Oryctolagus cuniculus: one gene and its partners. The protein of the gene in region 1 binds, or shares a complex with, the protein of each later gene. Links are inferred from orthologs where the notes say so. Each region holds a gene or a part of one and is shown on either strand. Other genes may lie near its edges. The genes, in order: TGFB3, ITGB8, LRRC32, TGFBR2, ITGB6 and TGFBR1.

Region 1 (3,990 bases):
GGCCTGGCCAGAGAACCCCAGCTCTGCCTCGGCCCCCGGCCTCCGCCCCACACGGTAGCCACTTCCTAAGGAAGGGCGCCCCAGGCAGCCCCAGGAACCCCTCGCCAGTAACCACAAGCTCCTCCACCTGGCACGGGCTGGCTCCCAGTGGGGCCTTCTGCACCTCCTGCAGCCAGAGCTGGTGCACGTGTCAGTCCCCTCGCCTGTTCCTTTTCTCTAGCCAAGCTTCTTCCCACCCTTTCTGTGCACCCCCCACCCACCATCCCACTGCCGCCCCCAGTGCGTGCACGGCGCACCTCCCAGGTGGGCCTGGGCTAGGTCGGCAGGGCGGCGAGGACACCTGCTGGTAGGAAAAGCAAACAGAGCTGCGCCGGAGCCTCTGGCCCATGAGCGGCTCACATTCCTCTTCTCCTGGGCTGTCAGTTTCTTAACATCTGCCAAATTTCTCTCTGTTGTATTGAGGTTTTTTAAATCCCCGTTCAGTAAACACACATGACTTCCACACGTGTACAAACACACACAGGCGTCTCGGCCCGCAGCTCCCAGCTCCTGCGCGCAGACGGCAGGCTCCTGGGAAGACAGGCTCCCGGACACACGGCCCCGCGGCCACCCCCTCCCCCCAACCCGCTCTCTCGCCGGACCACCCGCCCGTGACACGCAGACACAGAGGGCCACCCGTCCTCCCCTACACACCCAGAGCTCCAACCCTGCTCTCATGTGTTCCCCCGGTCCCAGGAAGGTGCCCGTTTTGAGCAATCCATCCACTGTCCCACCCGAGACGACGCATTGCCCTCAAGTCCACGGACATGTGAACACATGTGCACTCCCTCCCCCTACACACGTGGGCTCACGTGGGTCATGTGTGTGGTGCAGACAGAAGGGCCCAGGCTCTCTCGCCTGGGCTCCCGGGCGCTTCCCATACATTGATCTGGGGGCAGGTACTGTTCTTCCCAGAAACTGGGACAGCTGACAGGGAGACGTGTCACCGCGAGCTGTGAGAAGCAGGGACAGGATCCGAGTCTCCAGACTCGTGGAGCTGTCAGGGCTCGAGGGAGAGAGCCAGCCGCCCCCCACCCCACCCCGGTATGGCACCCATATGTTTACAGTTCCCCGTAGGATCGCATGTGCGAGAACACATATGCTTCTCCAGGCAGCCCTGTGCAACTCCGACTTAAAATCCGCCAAGGATGTGATGTGAGTCCGGCAAGCTGCCGGCCTCCCGGAGGCGCCCCGGCTCTCACCAGAAGGGCTCTGTCTCCCACCCCACCCACCCACTACCGGGCCCCCTCGGCACATCGCATGTCTTGAGCCCGGGTGCTCCGCGGTGTGGCCGCTGCCGGGCCCCCTCTGCCCAGCGCCCTGCTCCGGTGGAGACCCTCCAGGGCGGTGACCCTGGTGAGGACCGGGACTTACTGTGCTCCGCCAGTCCCTGGATCATGTCGAATTTATGGATCTCTTTGGCATAGTATTCCGACTCGGTGTTTTCCTGAGTGCAGCCTTCCTCCCTCTCTGCCTGCAGCTCCTCCAGCAGCTCCCGAGTGCTGTTATAAAGGGCCAGGACCTGGTAGGGGACGTGGGTCATCACCGACGGCTCAGGGGGGCTGGTGAGCCTGAGCTTGCTCAAGATCTGTCCCCTAATGGCTTCCACTCTCTTCTTTTTGATGTGGCCGAAGTCCAAGGTGGTGCAAGTGGACAGAGAGAGGCTGACCGTGGCAAAGTTCAGCAGGGCCAGGACCACCAGAGCCCTTTGCAAGTGCATCTTCATGGGGCGAGCCGGGGAGAGAGGCCAGGGGGGGCGGCGCGGCCTGGAGAGGAGGAGACCCCGGCAGACGTGCAGAAGGAGGGAGGGAAACCAGGCGGCCTCCCCAGATCCCAAAGACTGAGGCTTGGCAAGAAGGTGCATGAACTCACTGCACTGCGCGAGCTGCAGACTTCCAGGAAGCGCTGGCAGCCCCGAGGCCGGCGGAGCGGACTGTGTGCCTCGGTGCGCCGCGATTCTCGCCCATGTGTCTAAACAGGTTCTGCTGGGCACGCGGAGGGCTGGGAGGGGTGGCGAGGCAGCTGGGAGTGGGAAGCGAGCTGGAGTTTTTCCTTAGGTAAAAATAAATAGAGCGGATATCTGATATTGCCAAACGCCACTTGGCGATGGGGAGAAAGCGGGTATTTTAAAGAGGGCACGGAAGGACCGTGGCCGGGTCCCAAAAATCAAAACCCTCGCCTTGCCCTGAAGGAGAAGAGGGAGGGAGAACAGGAACAAAAAAAAAGGAGGGGGGGAGGGATAATATTAAAGAAAAAGAAAAACAGAAAAGTCAGATCACCAGTGAGTAGGTGGGGATGGGCAGGGCTGGGCAGCTGCTGGGCCGGCTAAAGGTGGGGGCAACACGGGGCACCCTCGTCCCCCAGGCACTCCATCCATGCTTGCCCTTCCGTCTACACTCGCTGGGGGCTTTCTAAACCACTCTGCTCTCGCTGCCTGGTGTCCTCTTCATTGGCTGAGACGCGGGGAGTCCCGTGCAACTGGCAGCCCCAAGAGCCCCCTCGGCCGCCCACGGTCACCAGCACCTCTGCGTGTCTTCTCCCTCCGCCATGGCTTCTGTCCCTGGCTCCTCTTTAAAAAAAATAAAAATGAAAAATAAAAGGAAAGAAAACAGAAGGCAGCTCACTGCAGGGCTGCTCCGGCAGGCTTCTCCCGCACGCTTCTTCCCCTGTCTCTCGCCTCTCTCGCTCTTTGCCTTGGACTTGGCTCTGCGTCTCTCTCTGTCTCACACACACACATGCACACACACTGCTTTCTCTATTTCTCTCTGCTGAAATTTTATACCTCCCTCCCATGACGTCTCCCGCCCCGGGTGGGGGAGGGAGGCAGGGCCCGGCCTCCTTCGCCGCTGCACGATTGTAATGTTTTAAACAGGCACGGGAAAAGCCGAGCCCATTTGAAAAACACGCTGCGTCCGACGTGGTCACTGAACTTTTTTTCCCCTCTTGGAGTCACTCCTGCTACACGTTGGCTGTTTTTCTGGAAAGTTACTCCGAGCAGCCCCCTCCCTGGCGGCTCCCCCCGGCCCCTGCGCCCTCTGGCCAGCTGTCGGCCCGCGCACTCCGCGCCCCTCGCCTCCGCCCCTCCGGGCCCCCGGCCGTCCCTCGGGCAGCGTCCCGGGCGGCGGCCAGCCTGGCCCCCCGCTCCTCACGGGGCAAACCCGCCGTCGGCGGCCGCGCGAGCCTGCAGAAGCTCTAGGGGCGCCGGAAAAAAAAATGGTGGCGCGTTCCGGAAGGCCGAGGGTGCCCTCTGGCGAGGCCCGGCCGCCAGTGACGGAGACGCGGAGGCCGGGAGGGCCGCGGGGCGGGAGAGGGGGCTGCGGGCGCGGGGGGACCCCCGTGCGTGCGGGCGCGGCCGTCTCGGCCTCCCTTCCCCGCCGGGGGCTCCGTGGGAGCCGCGCCAGCCAGCGCGGAGCCGGCGGTTGGCCCGAGCCGGTTTCCCAGATGGCTGAGGAGGGGACGTTTGCGCTCCAACTTCGCTCCGCCGTCCCGCCGGGACCTCGAGGGCTTTTCCCACGAGCAAACAGCGTAGGGCCGGCCAGACTCCCCCTGCAGCCCCGGACGTCGGTCCGAGGGGTCCCTCTCCTGGGAATGGCCGCCGCCCCCTGCAGCCCGGCCAGACCCAAAGGGCGCCCGGCTCCAGCCGGGACGCTCTGTGCAGCACAGGGCACGCTGCTGGACCACTGTACAGTTGAGGGGCCACCTTGTTGTTGTTGTTTTTAGGTCACCTTGCTTATGAATGGCGGAGCTGATATTGAACTCAGATTCTATGGTTTGGATAGGAATAATTTTCTTTTTTTAAGACTTATTTGTTTTATTTGAAAGAGTTACACAGAGAGAGGAGAGGCAGAGAGAGAGAGAGAGAGAGAGAGAGAGAGAGAAGGTCTTCCATTTGATGGTTCACTCCCCAATCGGCTGCAACGGCCGGAGCTGCGCTGATCCAAAGCCAGGAGC
Region 2 (3,500 bases), on another chromosome or scaffold:
ACCTTAGAGTGGCTGCCCCAGGGTCCACGGCGGCAGGATCTGCCCAGTGTAAAACTAATGAGCTCCAGGCCAAACAGACGTCTGTCAGACTCTGTTCCTCTGTCGGCTGTGTGCCAAACCCTAGCCAGCTGACCTGTGAACATGTGTTTTTCCCTGCAGAGGAAACGAGTGGCGAAAACTCATGTCAGCCCTGCAGTGTGCACTTCAACACAGACAATTCAAAGCAGATCCTCCCCGCCTGCAGCTCAGAGCACCAGAGTTCTACAGAAGGGCTAGTTCTTGAATTTTTGACATGTCACTGTAATCACAGTGGGATCCTCATTGTATCTGGAATTTGTTTGAGAGACTGGATGCTGTAGGAGATGATTTCAGTAAATTCTTTCTCCCCTCTGTAAAATATTTCTCATCTCTGTAACATGCAGTAGACAAACTGCTGATTCATTCTTATGTCACCTAGAAATCTAATTCATCCTACTCACAATGCCAGTTATAGCTGAATAAATGCTTGGGATTTAAAATATTCTATGTATGTAACAGGATATAAAGGCAACTTGCCATCACATATTTAGATGCTGTAGGACCATTTTTGGTTTATACAAGAATATAAAATTTATTTTTTATAAGTTTGTTACTTTCTATGTCCTTAGGACAATGAATTATTTCTGCTCATCAATAATTTAACACATATTTGCTAAATGAAAATATTACCAGGGTTTTTTTTTTTTTTTATAATACGTAGACTCAGCACATTGTTACAGGGGCGTTTCCACAGAAATGACTGTTTATTTAAGTCATTTAAAAATAATACTTTGCTTTCATTTCCAAATGTGTACAAATTTTCTCTAATCTAACCTCTAGGTGGCGGCAAACCTAATTAGCCCATAGGAATTGTGATAACTTCATTTTCTGTTTGGTCTGTGTGTGGCCTCAGGAGCTAATCTTCCAGATTACTTAGTAAAACAGCATTTTCCTAAAGAATGCTGTCCTTTGGCAATTCTGTTGCTAGTGGTTTTCAAAAATTGGCTGGAGAGATTTAAATTATGCAGATTTATAATTCCAGCTACAATCATGCATTGAGAATTTTCCAATGAATGAAAAGTGTATTTTTATAGCTCAGTTCTCATTATCCTGATAGAAATAAAACCCTCTGAGTCAACTGGGGGGAGTGACCATTAACTAGAATGAATCAGGTCCTTCTAGAATATCTGATTCTTCTAGAAGGTGGGTCAGCCATCATCAGCCATTTCCCTTTCAGATAGCTATCTTTATGAGATCAAGGAATACATGGAAATGACAATTAACTTTAGTTTTTATTTTAAAGTATTTCTTATATGAAGTAAGCTAAAATATAAATAGCAACATTTGAGGCAATAGGTCTTGTGCTGTTTCCTAATCCCACACATTAAGAAACATTGAAAATTAAATTCAGACTCAGTGGTGGTCATTTGTAAGATGAGACGTAAGGGACTCTCACTGATATGCCAGTGTCTTCGTGACCACAAAGACAGACTGTGTCCACCCATACTCACCAGCACACAGACTGCCATGATGATAGGGACAGGAAAAGTCATCTTTTTCACAGTATTTTCCATACACTTTTCCAAGCTTCATCTTGTGACATAGGCATTTCCCACAAACGCAAACCCCTCGGCCACTGCACACCGGTTGGTCCTCGTGGGCCTTGCAGCCCTGACTGGGAGATTGTGCTTCCTCTTGACGACACTGACTCTCCTGGCACTGGGGACACGTGGAATCCAGGGGTGCTTCCTCGGCACACTTCGCTGCACCTCCTCTGCTGGCCTCACACTCACAGCCACAGTTTTGGTGTATATGGATTTTACTGGTTTCATTGAAACCAATAGGTTTGATTATTGCATAGTTCTTCCCTCCTGTGACACTGCATTTTTCCATTGTCACTGTTACATTGAAGAGCACCTAAATTGAGATTGAGGAAATAGATTTACATACATTGATTATTTTATCACCAATATTATAACTGCTAAGATTTGAATTGATAATATACTATCTTGAAGACATGAGTAATATTTGTAAAATACACATGAATCTCTTTTATAAGTAGATGCAGCTTCCCTTTTCAAGGTCATTTGCTTCTTAATTAATACCTAATTATTATTAGTTAATTCAGGCATTTATTTCTTAATTGTTAATAATTAATAAATTAATTAATAACTAGGGAGTTGAAGGATGCAATGGTTGCTAATATTGCACTATTAAAGAGACTAAGCCTATTTAAAGCATCTACTCCACCATTATGATTAATTTCTTAGCAGATTTGAGAAAGAATAGAGCATTGGTCCGAATTCAGTCCCAAAATGTGGGATTATTGAATACCTGGTGCTAGAGAGAGCAAGTAAACCCAAGCAAAGGGCTCTGCTCCGCTGGTGTAAAACCCTGAGATGAGATACTCAACCAAACAGCTTTCTTTCCTTCCTGTTTTCTAGGGTGCTAAGTTTCAGAGTCACATTTTCTTTTATACAGGGTGCCAAAGGAGGAAAATATGAGGTTTACTATGATCAGTCAAGGACAAAAGATTTAGACGTCTCACTCTCAAATCTTAGATCTTCAAGATGAGGTCAAATATTTATCCCAGAGGGAAGAGTTACTCCAGAACCAAGGAAGAGGACCGCCAGGCTTTGGTTTCCCTCCTGAAACTACAATGCCCTTCCCTCGGCCACTTTTTCCATTTGCTCTATTTCTTCTTTTTGCACAGCACAATTGGTTTGATGTGTCCACTTATAGTTGACCTGCCTTACCATCTTCAGGTCATTTGTTACATAAGAAGGTTGTATATTTTGTGGCCTTAAACAGAAATCTATTTAATTAGCATATATGTAATTAAATATACATAAAATCTAAATGTAAGTTTATTTATGCATAAGGAAGTAGAATCGGTCTCATTAAAATCAATACAGTTGGTTTGCACTTGAAATAGTTTTTGTTTTTAGGATTGTTAAGGATTAACAGATGTGTATGGTAATGTGGCCCCTGCCGTTCTGAACAGTGGAACAAAACTTAGGGTTGATGTAATTAGGAGGGAGGGCAAATGAATATTCCTCAGAGTCAAACTGCTTATGTTACTTGGTTGAAAGTGGAGGGGAAAGGGGATACAGGCAAAGAAGAGGGGGAAAAAAGTAAGAAATCAGGAAAATACTTCTTCTAAAATAGAGATTTTTGAAAGAAAGAACTACTCATAAAAAATTGGGTTTCATCACTCACTATCTTTTGCTAGTAAAAGTTTTCTCTGTATTTAAATCATAAATATTTTGTAAACTGCTGTGTGATACCTTTTGAACAAAATCCAAAGAGTGATTATAGAGGGAACTACAGAATTAGAAGCTTGCAATAATTAGTTTAAAATATACAGCTCAGAGGAAAAATATATGTGCTATTGCAGATTCTAAAATTTCCAAGATGGGATAATATATTCTAATTAAGGAGAAAGGAAAATTCTTTCTTTTTGATCTTAGAATAATAGGACT
Region 3 (4,079 bases), on another chromosome or scaffold:
TCGGAAGGGGAAACTGAGGTTCAGAGAGCCCAAGCCACCCAAGAGGTGCCCAAGGTCACCCGGCTAGCCAGTGGTAGGCCACGCCAGTGTGGCCCCTGGCTCTGCGCCCTTAACCTTGGCACTCTCAAGCCTCTCCCAGCAGGTGCTCTGTGAACTAGCGCTGAGTTGGGATTCCGTGAGCCGCGTCAGGAGACAGGACATCGGCAGGGCCTTTGAGGGCTGTGACTTGGACCGCTGAACCCTCTAGTGGCAATGAACATGGCTGCTCTGGGGCTCTTTCCTGCTGGAACGTGCAAGGGACATTGCTGAGTCTTTCCAGCCGCAGCCACATCCCCGGGCTCCCTCCTCCGGGCCCCGGCCCCAGGCCCCTGCCACCACCATGGTGCTCCTCTCACCTGCAGGGGTCTGCTCTGTCCAAGGTAGAGGCTCCTGGACCTGGCCAGCCCTGCTCCCCAGCCTCCTCTCTCACCACCCCCTCTCCCTCTGTTTCGAGGTCACCTCCTTCCAGAAGCCTCTTTGGTTTCCCAAGTCTGGGCCACGGCCCGGAGCTTTCCACACCTCTGAGCTTCCGGTGGGCACAGCACCATGCACTGCAGGGCTCGCCCCACTCCCCCGGAACACACCCAGGCAGAGGCATGCTGTCCTCTGAGAGACCCCTCTCACAGCACAGGCCAGCCGAGGGAGGACAGTGTGGGTGACATGGTGACAGCAGCCCTCCACGACCTTCCCTCCCCTCCCTGCCACACACCTGCTTCCATCCGTGGGTGTGACCCTGGGTCTGCCCAGCTCCCTCCTCCATCCCTGGCCCCAGGACTTGAGGGTGGCAGGAGCAGCCCCAGTCACTTCTTCCCCATTTCCACCTGACCCCTTATTCAAAGCAGCCAGGGGGATATTTGAAAGTCACTTACGTGACTCTGCTGTTGGAAGACCTCCAGTCGGGGCCAGGCTTCACCCAGTCTCCTCTCTGGCTCCATCTACCATTTCCCTTCCCCACCAAACCCCAGACTCGGCCAAGGTCACTGCTGCCTCGGCACCTTGCCCTGCCATTCCCCTTGCCAGCAGTGCCAGTCCCCCTCCCCTCGCAGCCGTCACTTCCTAAGCACTTATTCAGATGGGAAGGGGACAGGGGCTCACCCAAGATTCAGTCAACAGGTAGCCGAGCGGGGCTGGGCTCCACGGCGGCCGACTGAGTGGTGAGTGCGAGGGAAGGGCAAGGTCGGGTTCAGCTCCGAGCCTGGAGAGCCCTGTCTCCTCCTTCCCGAGGCGGGCACCTGCACACCCAGAAGGGCCTCGCAGCACACGGGGACTCCACTCTGGGGAGTGCCCGAGGACACAGGTCACTTGAACCCAGGCTCACCGGGAAGCTCCACCACTCTGCCCCGCTGGCCGCCCCAGCCACAGTGACAGCAGACAGAGAGTGGCCAGGAAGGTGTCCAGGCGGGACGATGAGCTACAGGGCTGAGCATCCCAGGTGAGGCATGCAGAGGAGGGAAGCCCCGGGGAAGGGGGAAGAAAGGGCAGCTCACTGCTGACTCAGAAAAGAGCCAGAGGATATGAGAGAGAGAGAGAGAGACAGACAGACAGACAGAGAGGACACTGGCAATGCCCGCAGTCACAAGCCCACCCTACTACATAAGGATGTCACTCTGCTAAGCACCAGAGTTCTATCATCTCATTTAACTTTCACAACCACCCAAGGAGGTGACTGCTGTGCGTCCCAATTCACAGATGAGAAGAGGGAGGCTCAGGAAGCTGGGGGAACTGGCCCCCAGGGCTTCCAGCTCCCAGTGGTTTCACCCAGGTATGCAGGACCCCAAGGCTGTGCTTTCTCCAGCCCCCTAGAGAACTGTGCCCATTCTGCCCCGGAGACATGACTTACCCAAAGTCACCCAGGCAGCCAGCCGGAGATCAGGATCAGAACCCCGGGCCAGGCAGGCCCTGCGCTCCCGGGCTGACCCCGGCCAAGGCCCCCCACACAGACGCACAGCGGCCGCCTACTCACAGAGTCAGTCTGGGCTTCTCCCCTGCCCCGGGTCAGACTGAGTGGCTGAGGAGGGTCCCCGGAGGGCCGCAGTGAATCAGCGAGGCCAGCCCTCTCTGGAGACGTGTGCGTCCCACGGGGATCAGACCTTAACCCAGAGGAATGCGGCCGCCACGGCAGAATTCCAGGCGGCCCGGGGCGGGGTGGGGGTCCCTCCCTCCCCCGCTCCCACTCCACCCCCCTCCCCGCACCTCGGCGGCTGCGGACAGACGCGCGAGCGCGCCCAGGGGCGCTGGGACGAGCCCTGGAGGCGGGCAGTAGAGACTGCAGGAGACCTGGATTCAAATGCCAGCGGGGTGTTCCTGAGCCTCCTACCTCGGCTTGCCCAGCTGTCAAATGGGCGCGCCGACCTCAGCCCCGGGCGGGAAAGACCCGCCGCGACAGCCGCCCCGAGGCGTCCTGGGGACCGAAGGAGGGTCAAGTCCGGCTCGGCGCGCGCCTCAGGGGCGACCGGAGGGCGAGGGCCCTGGCCCCGGCCCCCGCCGGCGAGCGGCGCGGGACAGCGCTCCGTGGGGCCCCCGGCGGCTCCTACCTGGTTCAGCGCGGCCGGCGCTCCGCTCGCGGGTCGCCCCGGCGCATCGTGCGTACACCTGCCCCGGTCCTGCCCGGCCCGGCGCCAGGCCCCGGGTCCCGGCCCGAGGAGGCGCTCGGCAGCTCCGCTGCCCCAAGGGAGCCGACCCGCGAGGGGGCGGCCCCGGCGCCCATTTAAAGCCCGCTCGCGCCGGCCCGCCCCCGCCCCCTCGGCGGCGCCGCGCGGTCCTAGCGCCCTGCGGCCGCCCGAGACCCGCGAGCCCCCGCGGCGTCGGCGTCGGGAGGCCGGGGCGTCTGCTCCGAGTTGGAAGCCCGCGGGGAAGACGAGGCGAGCGCCAGCGGGGAGCAGGGTCGCCAGCACGCTCCGAGGGGGCGAGGCGAGACCGGCGTCGGCAACCGCACGTGCGGTCCCCAGCCCCGAGGGCTTGGGGGCTTGCTTGGTGGCTCTGGGAGCCGCAGGTCCGCGAAGGAAATCCGGCCTGGCCGCGATCTTCCAGCTGTCGGCGGCGCCGATGCTCTTCGCCCGGGGCGAGCGGGAAGGCCGGCGTGGGGGACGCGGAAGGAAGTGACCCGCACTGCGGCGCGGCCTGGCGGCCACTCTACCACCTAAACGAGCTATAGCGCCCGCGACCGTCCTCCTCTATCAGCTCTTGGGCCGTCGACTTCCGCAGCTTTGCGGCTTGAAAGCCAAGTGCGTGAGACCGCGGGGACCTGCTTTGCAGCTGCAGAAACTGAGCCTTAGCAAGGCTAAACGGCAACCCCACCGTCGCGCAGCTTTTTGGCATTGGCACTCGGGCGCCCGCTGTCCAGTTGGGGCACCATCGCGCCTGGTGGCTTAGCTGCTGTCCAGATGCTGCGCCATGGCCTTGGCGCCAAAGATCGTGGGCGTCTGGCCCTTGCCACATCCCTGTGCTCTGCTCTGCTAGGTGGCCGTTCCTCCAGGCCCTGGTCCAAGCAGAGAAGACTCCTCTTCCACAGTGCGTCTCTTCCCTGCCGGCCACCAGCCCCGAGAGTGGGGCCTTGGGGCCAACTGGGCTGAAGCTGGGCGATGTGGACACTGGCTTCCCTGGAGCCTACACAGCTGTCACTTTTTTTTTTTTTTGACAGGCAGAGTGGACAGTGAGAGAGAGACAGAGAGAGAAACGTCTTCCTTTGCCGTTGGTTCACCCTCCAATGGCCGCCGCGGCCGGCGCACTGCGGCCGGCGCACCGCGCTGATCTGATGGCAGGAGCCAGGTACTTATCCTGGTCTCCCATGTGGGTGCAGGGCCCAAGGACTTGGGCCATTCTCCACTGCACTTCCTGGCCACAGCAGGGAGCTGGACTGGAAGAGGAGCAACCGGGACAGAATCCAGTGCCCGGACTGGGACTAGAACCCTGGGTGCCAGCGCCACAGGTGGAGGATTAGCCTATTGAGCCACGGTGCTGGCCTGTCACCTCTTCTTGCTCCTGTCCAGTCCTCAGGGGTAGACCTGTGTAGATGGGACTCGTGTCAACCCAAGAGAGGC
Region 4 (3,500 bases), on another chromosome or scaffold:
GGGGAAGGGTAGCAAATGTACAGAGGGAATGACACAGCGAAGAACAATCTTACTAGTAGATGGTGGGGCAAGTTCACGGGTGCAGACATTTACCCTGATTGTTCTGCAGCCTATGAGGGTGACACACGGGGCCTCGAAACATTTAAACTAGCAGAGATGGGGCAGTTTCTGAGCTGTGTGGAGCTTGGAGCCCAGATGCAAAATCCAGGAGCGTCAATGGCACACAGGAACCCCAGGAACACTGGTCCCCAAACAGTGCGACCATACTTAGCTCCAGGGCTGGAGGAGAACCCCCGTGCCAGGAATCATGATTGCAAAAGCAAGTGTAACATGGCCGAAGCAGGCCCCGAGACACGGAGCGTCTCTGCTCACGCCAGGTGCCCCGTCGCCCAGCTTGGGGAGGACACCACGTGTGTCTGTCAGGGGGTAACGCTGTCCTCTGCCTTCCTTCCTCGCTCGGTTCTGGGGCTCTCCAACCAAACCGATTTCCTGGGAATCTTTGATCTTTTTCCTTGTCTCTTTTCAGAGTATGGCTATATATATTTATATAGATAGATATAGATATAGACATATATAGATATATATAAAACATAGCTATTCCATATTTATATACAGGCATTAATAAAGTGCAAATGTTATTGGCTATTGTAAAAAAATCAATCTCGTTTCCTGAGGAAGTGCTAACACAGCTTATCCTATGACAATGTCAAAGGTTTAGAATGCTTTATGTCACCTGCTCCCTGTGCTGTGTTTTCCACTCATCCCCACAGCTTACAGGGAGGGGGAGTGATGCCCTTGGTTTTCCAGGAAGCATCGGCCAATTCAGGGGCAGCTTCCTGCTGCCGCTGTTCTTTGGTGAGAGTGGTGGCTTCTTTGGATTTGGCCCAGCCGGTCCCAGAAGTGCTACTTGGTAGTGTTCAGCGAGCCATCTTCTGGAATCTTCTCCTCAGAGCAGCTCCTTCCCGAGAGTCTGTCCAGGTACTCCAACTCGCTGAAGCGTTCCGCCACGCACTGGGCCGTGAGACGGGCCTCCGGGTCGTGGTCCCAGCATTCGGTCAGTGTCTCACACACCATCTGTATGCCCTGGAGAGGGAGAGGGGTCCAAAGCACACTTGAATGGAGGGCTCTGGGGGTGGCAAGGTGGTCTGTTGACATTTGGCCCTGCAGCATACTAACATGCTCTGCCCAAGCACCTTGCCAGTTCCATGTGGAACAGGGGCTGTGCAGGGGGCAACGGCTCAAGACACCTGTCTGCCTATTCGCACTGGTGCGATTTGGTCACTACAGGTCAGGACACACGAGGGCCCCCTGCTTGGGATACAGGGCGAGAGGAGCATTGTCAACGCTTGATTTCTCAGGTGGTGGCCCCCAATACCTGTCACACCTTTCTATTCTACTTTGAGCAATTTTAGGTTCACCGCTAAACTGAATGGAAAAGTATAGCAAGTCTCTAAATAACTCCTTCCCCACACACGCACAGGCTCTACTGTCACCAGCTGGCCTCTGTTTGGTGCACCTATTGCAACTGACGAGCCAATGCTGATACATGATTCCTAACCAAGATCCACAGTTCACCCTGTGGTTCCCTCTGGGTGTTGTACACTCCACTGGTTTTGATCTTCCACTGCCGTGTCATGCATAATATTGCCTCCACCCCGGAAATCCCTCATATTCCACTTGTTCCCTCCCCCTCCCCCTGAAGTCCTGGCTCTGCAGTTGTTTGTGCTGGGGAACATAGAGTTGGCTCACACAACACCACTCGATTCCGACAGGGCTGAATACCAAAGTCAGGGTGGTGTGCAGGCAGTGGGCCGGGTTCTTTATGTAAAGTGCACGTTTCGTGGAAGAATTCAGAAGCAGCTTCGAGGAACTACCAAGGATGACCTCTCGCTTGCCCCATTCCTCTCCAACATTAAATCACACTCTGGGAAATGCTGTCTTTGTATGTTAAGAGTGCTTGCCTCTAGTCTGTTTAATAGGGTTCATCCCAGCCCCATAAATGCCCCATCCAATGAGTCCAGCAGGGTGCCAAGTTTCCATTCACTGGCTTATTATTTATTTTTTTTTGCATTGCAAATTTTGTTGTTACTATTGCAAATCCTTTTGGGGGAAGAAATCAGACAACAGCTAAATAGATAATGTGATAAGCCAGAAATAGTCTTTTCTTCCCAGCTAAAAGATCAGCATTGCCAATGGCGATCTCTCACAACGGCTAAGGTGGGACAGACAGATCTCAACCCTGTCCTGGAGAGCCAGCACTTGTCCCACTTGCCTTTTTTTAAAATTTTTTTGACAGGCAGAGTGGACAGTGAGAGAGAGAGAGACAGAGAGAAAGGTCTTCCTTTTGCCGTTGGTTCACCCTCCAATGGCCGCCACGGCCTGCGCACTGAGGCAGGCGCACCGCGCTGATCCGATGGCAGGAGCCAGGTGCTTCTCCTGGTCTCCCATGGGGTGCAGGGCCCAAGCACTTGGGCCATCCTCCACTGCACTCCCTGGCCACAGCAGAGAGCTGGCCTGGAAGAGGAGCAACCAGGACAGAATCCGGCGCCCCGACCGGGACTAGAACCCGGCGTTTCGGCACCGCTAGGCGGAGGATTAACCTAGTGCTGGTGCCGCAAGGCGGAGGATTAGCCCAGTGAGCCACGGCACTGGCCCCACTTGCCTTTTAACACCAACAGCTTTCCCAACACACCTACAAGCTTGTTTCTCCCTCCCCACCCTGTGAGTTCATGATGTTGAATTAATTGTAAAATTCACCTAATTGACGGCATTGATTGATGGCCCTGTTAAAAGTGGAGTGTTATTGTTGGTACACAAGTAACATTTATTTTATTCTGGCACTGTAATTACAGGCAGTAAATTAAATTAAATATTAAGCATTAACTTGAAATCAATAGGGCAACAAATCTCATTAAGAGAAAAAATGTATTATGCAAATTCTTCCCAGAATTTTATCATCATGAATAATGGCTTCATTAGAAGAATTACACAGCAGAAGAAGCTACAGAGTTTGGAAGAAACATAACACTCTAGAATCTTCTGATTTTTGAATTTATGCAAAACCAGTGTTGCAGTTTTAGAATCACAGATGATCTGCCGGAAACCCAGGACAGGCCCCTCCCCCACTGCAACCTGGGTCAGCCCTGACGGCTGACAGGCTGTCCCTGAAGTGGCTTTGGTCAAGGCTAGCCCAGGGCAGACTTTCTGCTCCATCTGCCTTCCGTCTTGCAGCAGAGGTGTTGTTATTTCTGTTTCTTATCTGAACCTGCCTTGCCCTTAGGAAAACCTACCACTTCCAAACTCCTTCCAATCCAGAGCAATGGCGCCCTCTTTAGCAGACACCTGTGCGCGGCGTCCTGCATGCCGCAGTCACTCCCCGGTCCAGCTGCCTGACAAACCCTGCTCCTCTCCCAACTCCAAGAATTTCTTTCCTAAGCCGCAGATTCCCAGAGGAAAACATCTGAAGCCAGCGGGAATGAAACATAAACTCCCGGGTTGGG
Region 5 (4,138 bases), on another chromosome or scaffold:
CTATGCATATTTGAGGCTCTGGGGCAGGCATGGCGAATTCCAACTTCCCAGGGTGTTACAAAGGCTAACAGTGGCTGCTGGAGGCCTGAGACTCCCCCTCACCACAGTGACCTTGCACTCACAGCCTTTACCAAAGGATCAGAGGTGATGTTAACCAAGGAATTTACTTTCTATCTGCTGTAAACGAAGACTTAATTTGCTTTTTGCTCCAGTTATCTCAGTTAATATCCTGATAGCTACTTTGACTCTTAGAGTGACTTCTTAAAATAATCTGACCTAAATTTAAACCGGCGCCGTGGCTCAATAGGCTAATCCTCCACCTTGCGGCGCCGGCACACCGGGTTCTAGTCCTGGTTGGGGCGCCGGATTCTGTCCCGGTTGCCCCTCTTCCAGGCCAGCTCTCTGCTATAGCCAGGGAGTGCAGTGGAGGATGGCCCAGGTGCTTGGGCCCTGCACCCCATGGGAGACCAGGAAAAGCACCTGGCTCCTGGCTCCTGCCAGGATCAGCGCGGTGCACCGGCTGCAGCGGCGGCCATTGGAGGGTGAACCAACGGCAAAGGAAGACCTTTCTCTCTCTGTCTCTCTCTCTCACTGTCCACTCTGCCTGTCAAAAAAAAAAAAAAATAATCTGACCTAAATTTTGACCATAATTTGACTCTCAAGTGTCATCCGCAAGTAAAGCTATCCATGGTAACACAGGACCCTCTCTTAAACGAATGCTAAAACAGTGCACTTAAATAAAATTCTAGACTGATTCGTATTATGTCTTTGACTCCATTCTGTCTTTTTAAGAGAGTCAATATCCCCTCAAATGTGAATTTTGCCCTCATTGTATGTTTTAATATACTGCTTTTGATATATGAGCTCACAAAAGCACACTTTCCTTGAATTCTGCGGCCTCGGCAGTCAAGGCATTGGTGTGGTAGGAGCCAGGTCTAGCTTTGTTTCCCATTGAGCATGCTACTCAGCTCTTGCTGAACTTGGCATTTGTATGGTTTGATTTATGTTTCAATTCTGTTTATGAGATCCAGTGGGCAGAGACTTGTTTTAAGATCCAGAAAGCTAATGCATATCCCTTTTCCATGAGTCATTGACAAATTGCTCTATGGGGTAACGGGACAGGCAGTGACTTTGGATGTCTTGTTATATATTTCCCAATCAATTTCAAACTACATTCACATAGTTTTCAGTTTGACCAGATAAGGAATGGCTGTTTGGGGCTTTGTTATCTGTGTGATATAGTCACTCAGGTCATGAAAATGTAATTTTTAAAAGAAGTAGACCATATCTGAACAGTAATGCTTACCCCAAACACTTCTCTTAGAACTTAGCAATGGTTCAGGAAGGATCTTGCTTATGAGATGGAATGCAATAATGTATAATATTATATATAATGTCAAATGTGTTTGACTTTAGGAAATATCACCTCCATCATTTCTGATTATTTAGAGGGCTCCACTATAAGATATAATCAGTTAGAAATGACTTTAAAATAAGAGGAGGAACCTCTTTTAAATAAATAATTCTGAGTTAAGTCCCTTTTCAAAATAACATGACATCCACCCCTTCCACAAATAAGTTTTCAAAGTGATTGTATGAATGGCATTTTGAACCACCAATGCTTATATTGTCCTTTCTTGATATGCTTTTCCCATATAATCCTCCAATAGGCAGGACATTAGCAGAGCCAACCCTGAGGAAATTAACATATGTGTAACTATATAATTTTTAAAAACAGGTTGAGGTCAGTTGTCTTACCTCCTGAGAACACCAGGCGCACTGCGGTCCAAGGAGCAGGCAGTCCTCACAGGTCTCTGCACCTCCCAGGGCACAGCCACCTGTGTTCCACCCAGCAAGAAACAAAGGGTTAAGAACACTTTCATTCATTTTGTTTATGAGACTTACCCCTCTTAAATTATTTGAATAAAACCATAACAAAGTCTGTTTCAGTCTTTACAGATCAGTTCCCAAATGTTAGCAATTCACCTGAGAGTTTATATTTTATATCTATCCCATTGAAACTATGTCTTATAGGAGAAAAATTATTCTTTTTTCTTATGGTATGTAAATATCTAAGCATTCACAAGTACAGAATGCTAATTATTTTTATTCACTCTATGACACATAAATTTTTAAAATTATTTACACTCATAAAACGCACTTCACTCTTAAATGTGATATTTCTGCTTTTGAAATAAATCCTTTTTGTCCCGCAAGATTACTCCTAAGTGAAAAGGCTTATACAATAAACTAGAAACGTTTCCAAAATGGTTGTCACGGTGGCATTGAGAAGTCTCATTGTGCAGTAATGCTGTTTAATTCTCCTTATTAAAATGTCTATGCAACCTTTGTATTTATTTACCTTAAGCCTGGAGCATTCACTGTGGGAACAGCTCAGTGTTTGCCTGCAATTTGTTAAAGTGTTCTCTCCGTGGCAAAAGAGCAGTCAAACAGATCAAATAAAAAATGACTTCAGATCTAGTTTCTGAGCCAAATGACAGGTTTGTCAAGCACACCACGAAAGCAACATTACAGAGAACTCAGGTCTTACCTTGTACGCACTCATTCCTTCCCAGAAATAGAAAGAACAGGCAAAGCAGTTCAATCCCCATTCGCTTCAGTTCTCGCTGTGCAGACGGATTAAAAAATGAATTACCTTCCATGTTACAAGACTAAAGCGGAATATCGGTGAAAGTCTTTCTTTCTTGCAGTGCAAAATTTAAATACTACTTACGCTGCTTTGAAAAGAAACTTGAGATGTAAGTTAAGAAGTTTTCATTAAGACTGAAATGAAAACAGAGGCTACCTGGACAGGTAAAGAAGAAAAGCTGTATTTGAAAGCAACTTCAACATGATTTACTTCCTTGTTCTCCTTATAAGGAAGGCAGGTGTACGATCACCAAGAAGGTGGGGAAATTCATTCAGAAGAAATTTTTGTGTAAATTCTGTTAGTCTCTCTGTAGTCCAGAGAAAGTTTAAGATCTGTAGTGAAATATTGATTAATGAAATGTCAGAGCAAATCAAGTATGATTGTGTCTACAATAATTTCCATTTAATGTGAATAGTAACTATGTGAAATGAAACTCAAGTATTTAAGTTATATGTAAGGAGCTCATAAATGAAAATACCTGAGATTTTTGTATTCCATTGTTAAATCTTTTGCAGAAAATGGAAATGAACTCTGAAAAATAAAAATAAATTTTTTCCGATCAAATTAGAAGGTAGGCTAGGGAAAGTAAAACACTGGGTTTTTCAAATTGGATGAAAGATATTTTCCCATAAAAATATATTGTATTTAAAATGTGATACTATGAGCAGACACTGGCACAGTGTTAAGAGGCCACTTGGGACACCCATATCCTTTACTGGAGTGCCTGGGTCCCCATCCCAGCCCCACTCCCAATTCCAGCTTCCTGCTGATACACACCCTGAGAGGCAGCAGGTGATGGCTCAAGTACTTCGGTGCCTGCCACCCATGTGGAAGACCCAACTGAGACCCAGGCTCTTGGCTTTGGCCTGGCCCAGCATTGGCTGCTACAATCAATTGGGAGTGCACCAGAGGATGGAATATCTCTCTGTGTCTGTCTCTGTCTCTTGCTGCCTTTCAAATAAATTAAAGATAACTAAATAAATTTAAAAAGGGATATCAGAAATAGATACAATATGTGAAAATCAAATTATAACAGAATAAGATGATCTCACAACAGCAAGTTTGGAAACAGAAATAATGGTTCACAGATTCTGAATTCCTCAGTATAGGGACCAAATTCTCTTTCCAAGGTGCTGTTACAGCTTCTAACTCACATGGGTACCTGGCACATAGGAGATAGGGATTTATTTGTTAAATAAAAGATTCACCATTCAAAAATCCATATACAGTCATCGTCACCCCTTTAGCTCCCTCCCCATCCCAGCGTATTCAGCAAGTTGTTTTGGGATTTGTAGGAACTGCAAATAGGTAAGAATCCAATACTTACTTGGTCGTTTTCTGAACTGTCTGCTCTTAGACAAGCCTCTTTGTGGCTGCACTTATGTCCTAGGAGATTATCTTTTAAAAGTGTGTTTCTAGGCAAACACATGAAACCTGCAGAGAAGAAAACTAATTATAGACTGTGTAAGTTCTTCTCAGCAGCTGAGG
Region 6 (4,187 bases), on another chromosome or scaffold:
GAAATAGAAAGCAGAAGCCCTGTCCTCAGGGTGCCTGTACTGTCCCTGAGCACTACACGTAAGTACAGTTAAGTAACTGTAAGTGCTACACAGTCCAGGGACAGAGTTCAAGGAAAATTAAACTAGTACATTAAGTCAGGACCAGAAATTTGTGTCTCCACACCCGTCAAAAAGGGGCAAAATTAATTATGTATTGAAAAGGTTGAACCATCAGGAGTGTCAGTGGGAAAAAGGAAGTCATGGGAACCGAAGGTCTGCAGTAGTGAGAAGTGGGGTGGCTACTCAGAGATGGCCCAACTCAGAAGCCTCGAGCATCGTTCTTAGTGCACACACATGGGGCTCCGGTAAGCCCTGGTGAAGTGGCAGGGGAAGACTGGTTGAGCAGCAGCTCACAGGAAAGCCATGACAGAGGAACACTAGAAAGCAACCAGATTTGGAGATCACCGGCAGGACTAGGCTGACGGCTATCCACCAAGGAAGGAGGGGGTACTCGAGGCATCAGCACAAAGAGTCGGACTGTTTGCAAAGAAAAAAAGTCATGAAATTGCAGAAAGGAAGCAAAACAGCATTCTCGCGTGGGGTATAATGCAGGCACGGTGGAACTAAGCTGCACTAGGGACAAGGAATCAGCTCTAGAGAAATCCATGTTGGAGAGAGCAGAAGCTGGGCACAGAAATGCAAAACAGATCCCCAGACAATAAGGAAAAACCACCAGTCTTAAAAAGGGAAGCCAAAAAAAAAAAAAAAAAGAACTCTTGGGTTGCCTCAGAAAGCATGAAGGCACAGACGGAACCCGAACACACCTAAGCAGGGCGCCGGGAAAGTGGGGTGGTCTGGGCTGTGAGTAACCAGCATCCAGGCCAGCTCTGTATTGTATGTGTGCCCACACAGACAGTCAACTCCAGGGCACCACCCAGCAGCGTTCTGTCCCTCCAATTAAGTCGAGTATGTGCTACCCTAGGTGGAAAACAGTGACTGAACTACGTCACTCAAGTTAATAATGGTGTGGAAAGTTGCCTGCTTGATGCAGAACTGTATCAGTGTATCCCACCTGTCCACAGTTATCTTGCCTCCCTCCTGAGGCCAGGTCAAAACCCTCTGTTTCCTCTAATACAGGCCCATGGCAAGGGACTCAGGAATGTGTCAGGATGTAGAAAGAAGTCAACCTAACACTCAAATTGTGAGGCCAACATCTTAAGGGATGAATACCAACTGCTTGTTAGATGATGGAAAAAGAAAAAATGGGCTGTGCCAGATAGTTGGTGTATGGGTTTTGGAAACTGAGAGAGCTGACAGCAAATCCTAACCTCAGCACTTAGTAACTGGTCCTCACCTCTCTGCAGCTCAGCTTTCCCAACTACCAACGGGGCAAAGGCCAGCAGCCCTTAAGGGTTAGTGGCAGAGACTGGACAATACGCTTTGGCGTGCTTTTTGCATTTGCATCACAGTGGGCTCTTAATAGACAGTAGCTATTAGGATAGCTGGGCACCGGTCTTGAATTTGCTTTTGTTTAACACTTGTTCCATTTCGCTGCATTTTCACCCAAGTTCTCTATTTAGCTTCTATATTTTAGTTCAGTCTCTAACAGAGTTAGGCACTCCACCCTTCGCCAGGGTAGGCACCCACCACCTACTCCAACCTGGTTTAGCGACCAAAAAAGCTGGGCAAACAGTCTCACTTGAAAAGCGGCTACACAGACGTCTGATTCAAGCTGCTAACTGCCACTCAAGAAAAGGAACATCAGGAGCGACGCTCCTTCAAAGAAATAAAAGCGTTTCCATTCAAACACTCCCAACCCCGCGGAGTGAGCAAACGTGCAAGTTTCTACTACGAAAACAATCCGTAGCCTTCTGGCGGCTGGACTCGCTTCAACACTCCCAGACGCACGGAGAGGGAAACAATCCGCGCATCTCGTGCCGCCGCCGCCTCCTCAACACAAAGCTTCGCAGCTCCCCTTGCCAAGCCACCCCGGCCCGAGAGGCAGCCGCTCCCCGCAGGTCGGCTCGGGGTCGCGGCCGGCGCCAAAGCCCGCGCAGCCCTGCCGCCCCGGGGGTCTCCACCACGCGGCGGCCCCTCGCATCGCTCCGGAACGCCCTCGAGGCTCAGGGCTCACAGCCCGCCCGGGAAGCCTCCCCGGACCCCAACTCCGCCCCGGGACTCGGAAGAAGCCCCAGGCCCAGTCCTGCCTGGGGGCAGGGGTGCCCGGAATAAGGCCACGCAGTGACCTGGAGGACGCGCCGGGGCAGCCTGGCTCGGCCGGTCCGGTCCAGCCTCACCCTCCGCCCCTCGCCCACTCACGCCCCAGAGGGCAGCCCCCGACCTCGGACGGCTCCGCCTGACGCCGCCTCTCCTCCGGGGGCCCCCGGAACCCGGGCGGCCTTGGGTTGTCGGCCACGTCCACGCGCACTCGGACACACACCCCCGCCGCTCCTCCGCTGCCCGCCTCAGCTTCGCCTGGCGGCCACCAGCCCCTGAAAGCCCAGCCCGGGCCCCGGCGCCGCCACCTGCGCCCCCGGCCCCGCGCCATGTTTGAGAAAGAGCAGGAGCGAGCCAGAGGCCGGGCCCGGCCCGCGCGCCCCCGCGGCCGCCCGCCTGCCCGCCCGCCGCGCCGGGGCTCACCCGTTGCCCCCGGGAGCAGCGTCGCTGCCGCCGCCAACACGAACAGGAGCAGCCGCCGGGGACGCGGAGCAGCGGCCGCCGCCTCCATAGTCCCGCTGCCGCCGCCTGTGGCCCGGCCCGGCCCGGCCGCCGCCTCGCCTCAGCAAGCCTCGCCTCGCCCCACCTCCCCCGCCGCCGCGGCGGCCTCGCTCCGGCCCTTTGTAACTGCTCCGGGGACGCGCGCCCATTGGCTGCCGGGCCCCCGCCGGCCCCGCCTCCCCGCCGGCTGCGAGCGGCCCAGCGGGACCAGGCCGGGAGCCCCGCCTGCGGGCCCGCCAGGCGACCAATCCGGGGCAGCGGGCTCCGGCCTCCGGCCACGCCCCACACACTCCCCGGGGGCGGTGCCGCCAGACCCCTTCCCCAGCCGGAGCGAGCTCCGGGTTCCCGAGGCCGGGTGGGGGTTGGCTCTCCCGAGCCCCAGTGGGCGATGGGTGTGTCTGCTTCTGGCTAGCTTTCGAAAAAAGGCTGCGGCCGCTCGCCGCTCTTTTCTTCTGGCCTCCTCTTAGACACCAAAGAGCTGGTCCTGACCCAGCCCCACCCTGGCCCCCCCATCCACAGCCCTGCACCTGCAGTCGGTAACACAAGCCGCCCACATCCGCACTGTCGCGGAGCGCTTGCATCCACTTCAGCGTCCCCTCCCCAGACCCACGCCTCAAGTTTCAACATCACCTTTCTCAGTGCCCATCACATGCGACTCATCCTGCTCTTGGCGTACACCCCATACCTAGCCCCCTCCTCAAATTCCAGGCCCAGAAAGTTCTCAGATCTCAATCTTAGATCCCAGAGCCCGAATCCAGACACACACCTCAAATAGCCTCCCTCCAGATCACGCCCAGAACAGGGACCCAAGCCACTCTCCTACCCTCTTTTCGACTTCCTGATTCAGGTTGGAAAGGGAGAGCCTGCATCCCACCCTCCAAGGAAGGGAATCTCCGCTCTCAGCCCCAGCTCCTCCCGGGCGGAGGGGAGCAATCATCGTTACCTTGAGCTGTCTCTGATTCGCCTGTGTAATAATTCTGAGGTGTCACTGAAAACCCAAATAAACTCCACTACGTTTTCATTCTGAATTCCTAATTTACTGTGAGACGCTCCACCCACCTTCCCTCTGGGATGCCAAAACTAACTCCAGATTTGTAATTCTTCCTGTCAGACTAGTGCCTTCTTCAGACACAAACACAGCCAAGGAGGCTGTGTTACGCAGCACGGAGAACGATTCTCCGAAGGACCTTTTAAGGAGAAAATGTGAATTTTCTGAGCGATTGGAATTTGGAATTAAATAAAGCTTGGTAATCAGAATCAGAACCAGCCGTCTAGTTGGGATTTGCAAATTCCTTGAGAGCTAGTAGGTGAGAATGGTACCCGCCTGAGGAAGTTGGTGAGCTGTGAAGGGGAAGGATGGGGATGTGGGAGCTGGGATCTGAGACCCGCTGGGTTCCTGTCCCTGCAAGGACACTCTAGCAAGTCAGTGAATTCTGTTTGCTGGCTTGTGTTTGTCTATATTTGAAAGGCACAGAGACAGTGACACATAC

Evidence for each region.
Region 2: the proteins of TGFB3 (region 1) and ITGB8 are in contact, whole or in part, in a cryo-EM structure (PDB 8VS6), measured with the Homo sapiens proteins. The link is inferred for Oryctolagus cuniculus from reciprocal best matches to the Homo sapiens genes TGFB3 and ITGB8. Residues at the interface, in NP_001316868.1 of Homo sapiens: Gly262, Asp263, Leu264, Arg266, Leu267, Lys268; in NP_002205.1 of Homo sapiens: Ser156, Ala157, Ser158, Asn161, Arg206, Gln210, Cys211, Tyr214, Leu216, Ser247, Gly248, Asn249, Ile250, Asp251, Thr252, Glu254.
Region 3: the proteins of TGFB3 (region 1) and LRRC32 are in contact, whole or in part, in a cryo-EM structure (PDB 8VSB), measured with the Homo sapiens proteins. The link is inferred for Oryctolagus cuniculus from reciprocal best matches to the Homo sapiens genes TGFB3 and LRRC32. Residues at the interface, in NP_001316868.1 of Homo sapiens: Leu24, Ser25, Thr26, Cys27, Thr28, Leu30, Pro347, Pro349, Tyr350, Leu351, Arg352, Thr357, His358, Val361, Leu364, Leu368, Ser375; in NP_001122394.1 of Homo sapiens: Ala110, Ser135, Tyr137, Ser160, Val184, Met186, Asp187, Ile188, Asp190, Phe193, Leu202, Leu204, Arg206, Asn207, Ser208, Thr210, Cys211, Ile212, Ser213, Asp214, Phe215, Ser216, Leu217, Cys227, Asn228, Ser229, Lys254.
Region 4: the proteins of TGFB3 (region 1) and TGFBR2 are in contact, whole or in part, in a crystal structure (PDB 9B9F), measured with the Homo sapiens proteins. The link is inferred for Oryctolagus cuniculus from reciprocal best matches to the Homo sapiens genes TGFB3 and TGFBR2. Residues at the interface, in NP_001316868.1 of Homo sapiens: Arg325, Lys331, Trp332, His334, Tyr390, Tyr391, Val392, Gly393, Arg394; in NP_003233.4 of Homo sapiens: Leu50, Phe53, Asp55, Ser72, Ile73, Thr74, Ser75, Ile76, Glu78, Val100, Asp141, Glu142.
Region 5: the proteins of TGFB3 (region 1) and ITGB6 are in contact, whole or in part, in a crystal structure (PDB 4UM9), measured with the Homo sapiens proteins. The link is inferred for Oryctolagus cuniculus from reciprocal best matches to the Homo sapiens genes TGFB3 and ITGB6. Residues at the interface, in NP_001316868.1 of Homo sapiens: His259, Gly262, Asp263, Leu264, Arg266, Leu267, Lys268; in NP_000879.2 of Homo sapiens: Ser142, Ala143, Ser144, Asp147, Pro196, Cys197, Ser199, Ile200, Tyr202, Cys204, Ala234, Asn235, Ile236, Asp237, Thr238, Glu240, Asp271, Lys355.
Region 6: the proteins of TGFB3 (region 1) and TGFBR1 are in contact, whole or in part, in a crystal structure (PDB 9B9F), measured with the Homo sapiens proteins. The link is inferred for Oryctolagus cuniculus from reciprocal best matches to the Homo sapiens genes TGFB3 and TGFBR1. Residues at the interface, in NP_001316868.1 of Homo sapiens: Ala301, Leu302, Asp303, Asn305, Tyr306, Tyr350, Leu351, Ser353, Thr357, Thr360, Leu364, Leu368; in NP_004603.1 of Homo sapiens: His39, Leu40, Thr42, Lys43, Phe55, Met70, Ile78, Phe84, Val85, Lys91.

What each region holds. Positions count from the first base shown.
Region 1 is NC_091451.1:21,954,245-21,958,234, forward strand, and holds the start of TGFB3 (transforming growth factor beta-3 proprotein), read right to left. Parts: upstream 2,801-3,990; 5' UTR 1,904-2,800; coding exon 1,414-1,903; intron 1-1,413. UniProt on the Homo sapiens protein: Transforming growth factor beta-3 proprotein: Precursor of the Latency-associated peptide (LAP) and Transforming growth factor beta-3 (TGF-beta-3) chains, which constitute the regulatory and active subunit of TGF-beta-3, respectively.
Region 2 is NC_091447.1:12,468,257-12,471,756, reverse strand, and holds part of ITGB8 (integrin beta-8), read right to left. Parts: intron 1,936-3,500; coding exon 1,530-1,935; intron 1-1,529. UniProt on the Homo sapiens protein: Integrin alpha-V:beta-8 (ITGAV:ITGB8) is a receptor for fibronectin. It recognizes the sequence R-G-D in its ligands.
Region 3 is NC_091432.1:67,614,941-67,619,019, forward strand, and holds the start of LRRC32 (transforming growth factor beta activator LRRC32), read right to left. Parts: upstream 2,801-4,079; 5' UTR 2,574-2,800; intron 2,193-2,573; exon of another isoform or gene 1,880-2,192; intron 1-1,879.
Region 4 is NC_091435.1:167,306,905-167,310,404, reverse strand, and holds part of TGFBR2 (TGF-beta receptor type-2), read right to left. Parts: intron 1,084-3,500; coding exon 904-1,083; 3' UTR 1-903. UniProt on the Homo sapiens protein: Transmembrane serine/threonine kinase forming with the TGF-beta type I serine/threonine kinase receptor, TGFBR1, the non-promiscuous receptor for the TGF-beta cytokines TGFB1, TGFB2 and TGFB3.
Region 5 is NC_091434.1:81,764,368-81,768,505, reverse strand, and holds the start of ITGB6 (integrin beta-6), read right to left. Parts: upstream 2,801-4,138; 5' UTR 2,664-2,800; coding exon 2,552-2,663; intron 1,839-2,551; coding exon 1,759-1,838; intron 1-1,758. UniProt on the Homo sapiens protein: Integrin alpha-V:beta-6 (ITGAV:ITGB6) is a receptor for fibronectin and cytotactin. It recognizes the sequence R-G-D in its ligands. Internalization of integrin alpha-V/beta-6 via clathrin-mediated endocytosis promotes carcinoma cell invasion.
Region 6 is NC_091432.1:202,740,863-202,745,049, reverse strand, and holds the start of TGFBR1 (TGF-beta receptor type-1), read right to left. Parts: upstream 2,801-4,187; 5' UTR 2,708-2,800; coding exon 2,620-2,707; intron 1-2,619. UniProt on the Homo sapiens protein: Transmembrane serine/threonine kinase forming with the TGF-beta type II serine/threonine kinase receptor, TGFBR2, the non-promiscuous receptor for the TGF-beta cytokines TGFB1, TGFB2 and TGFB3.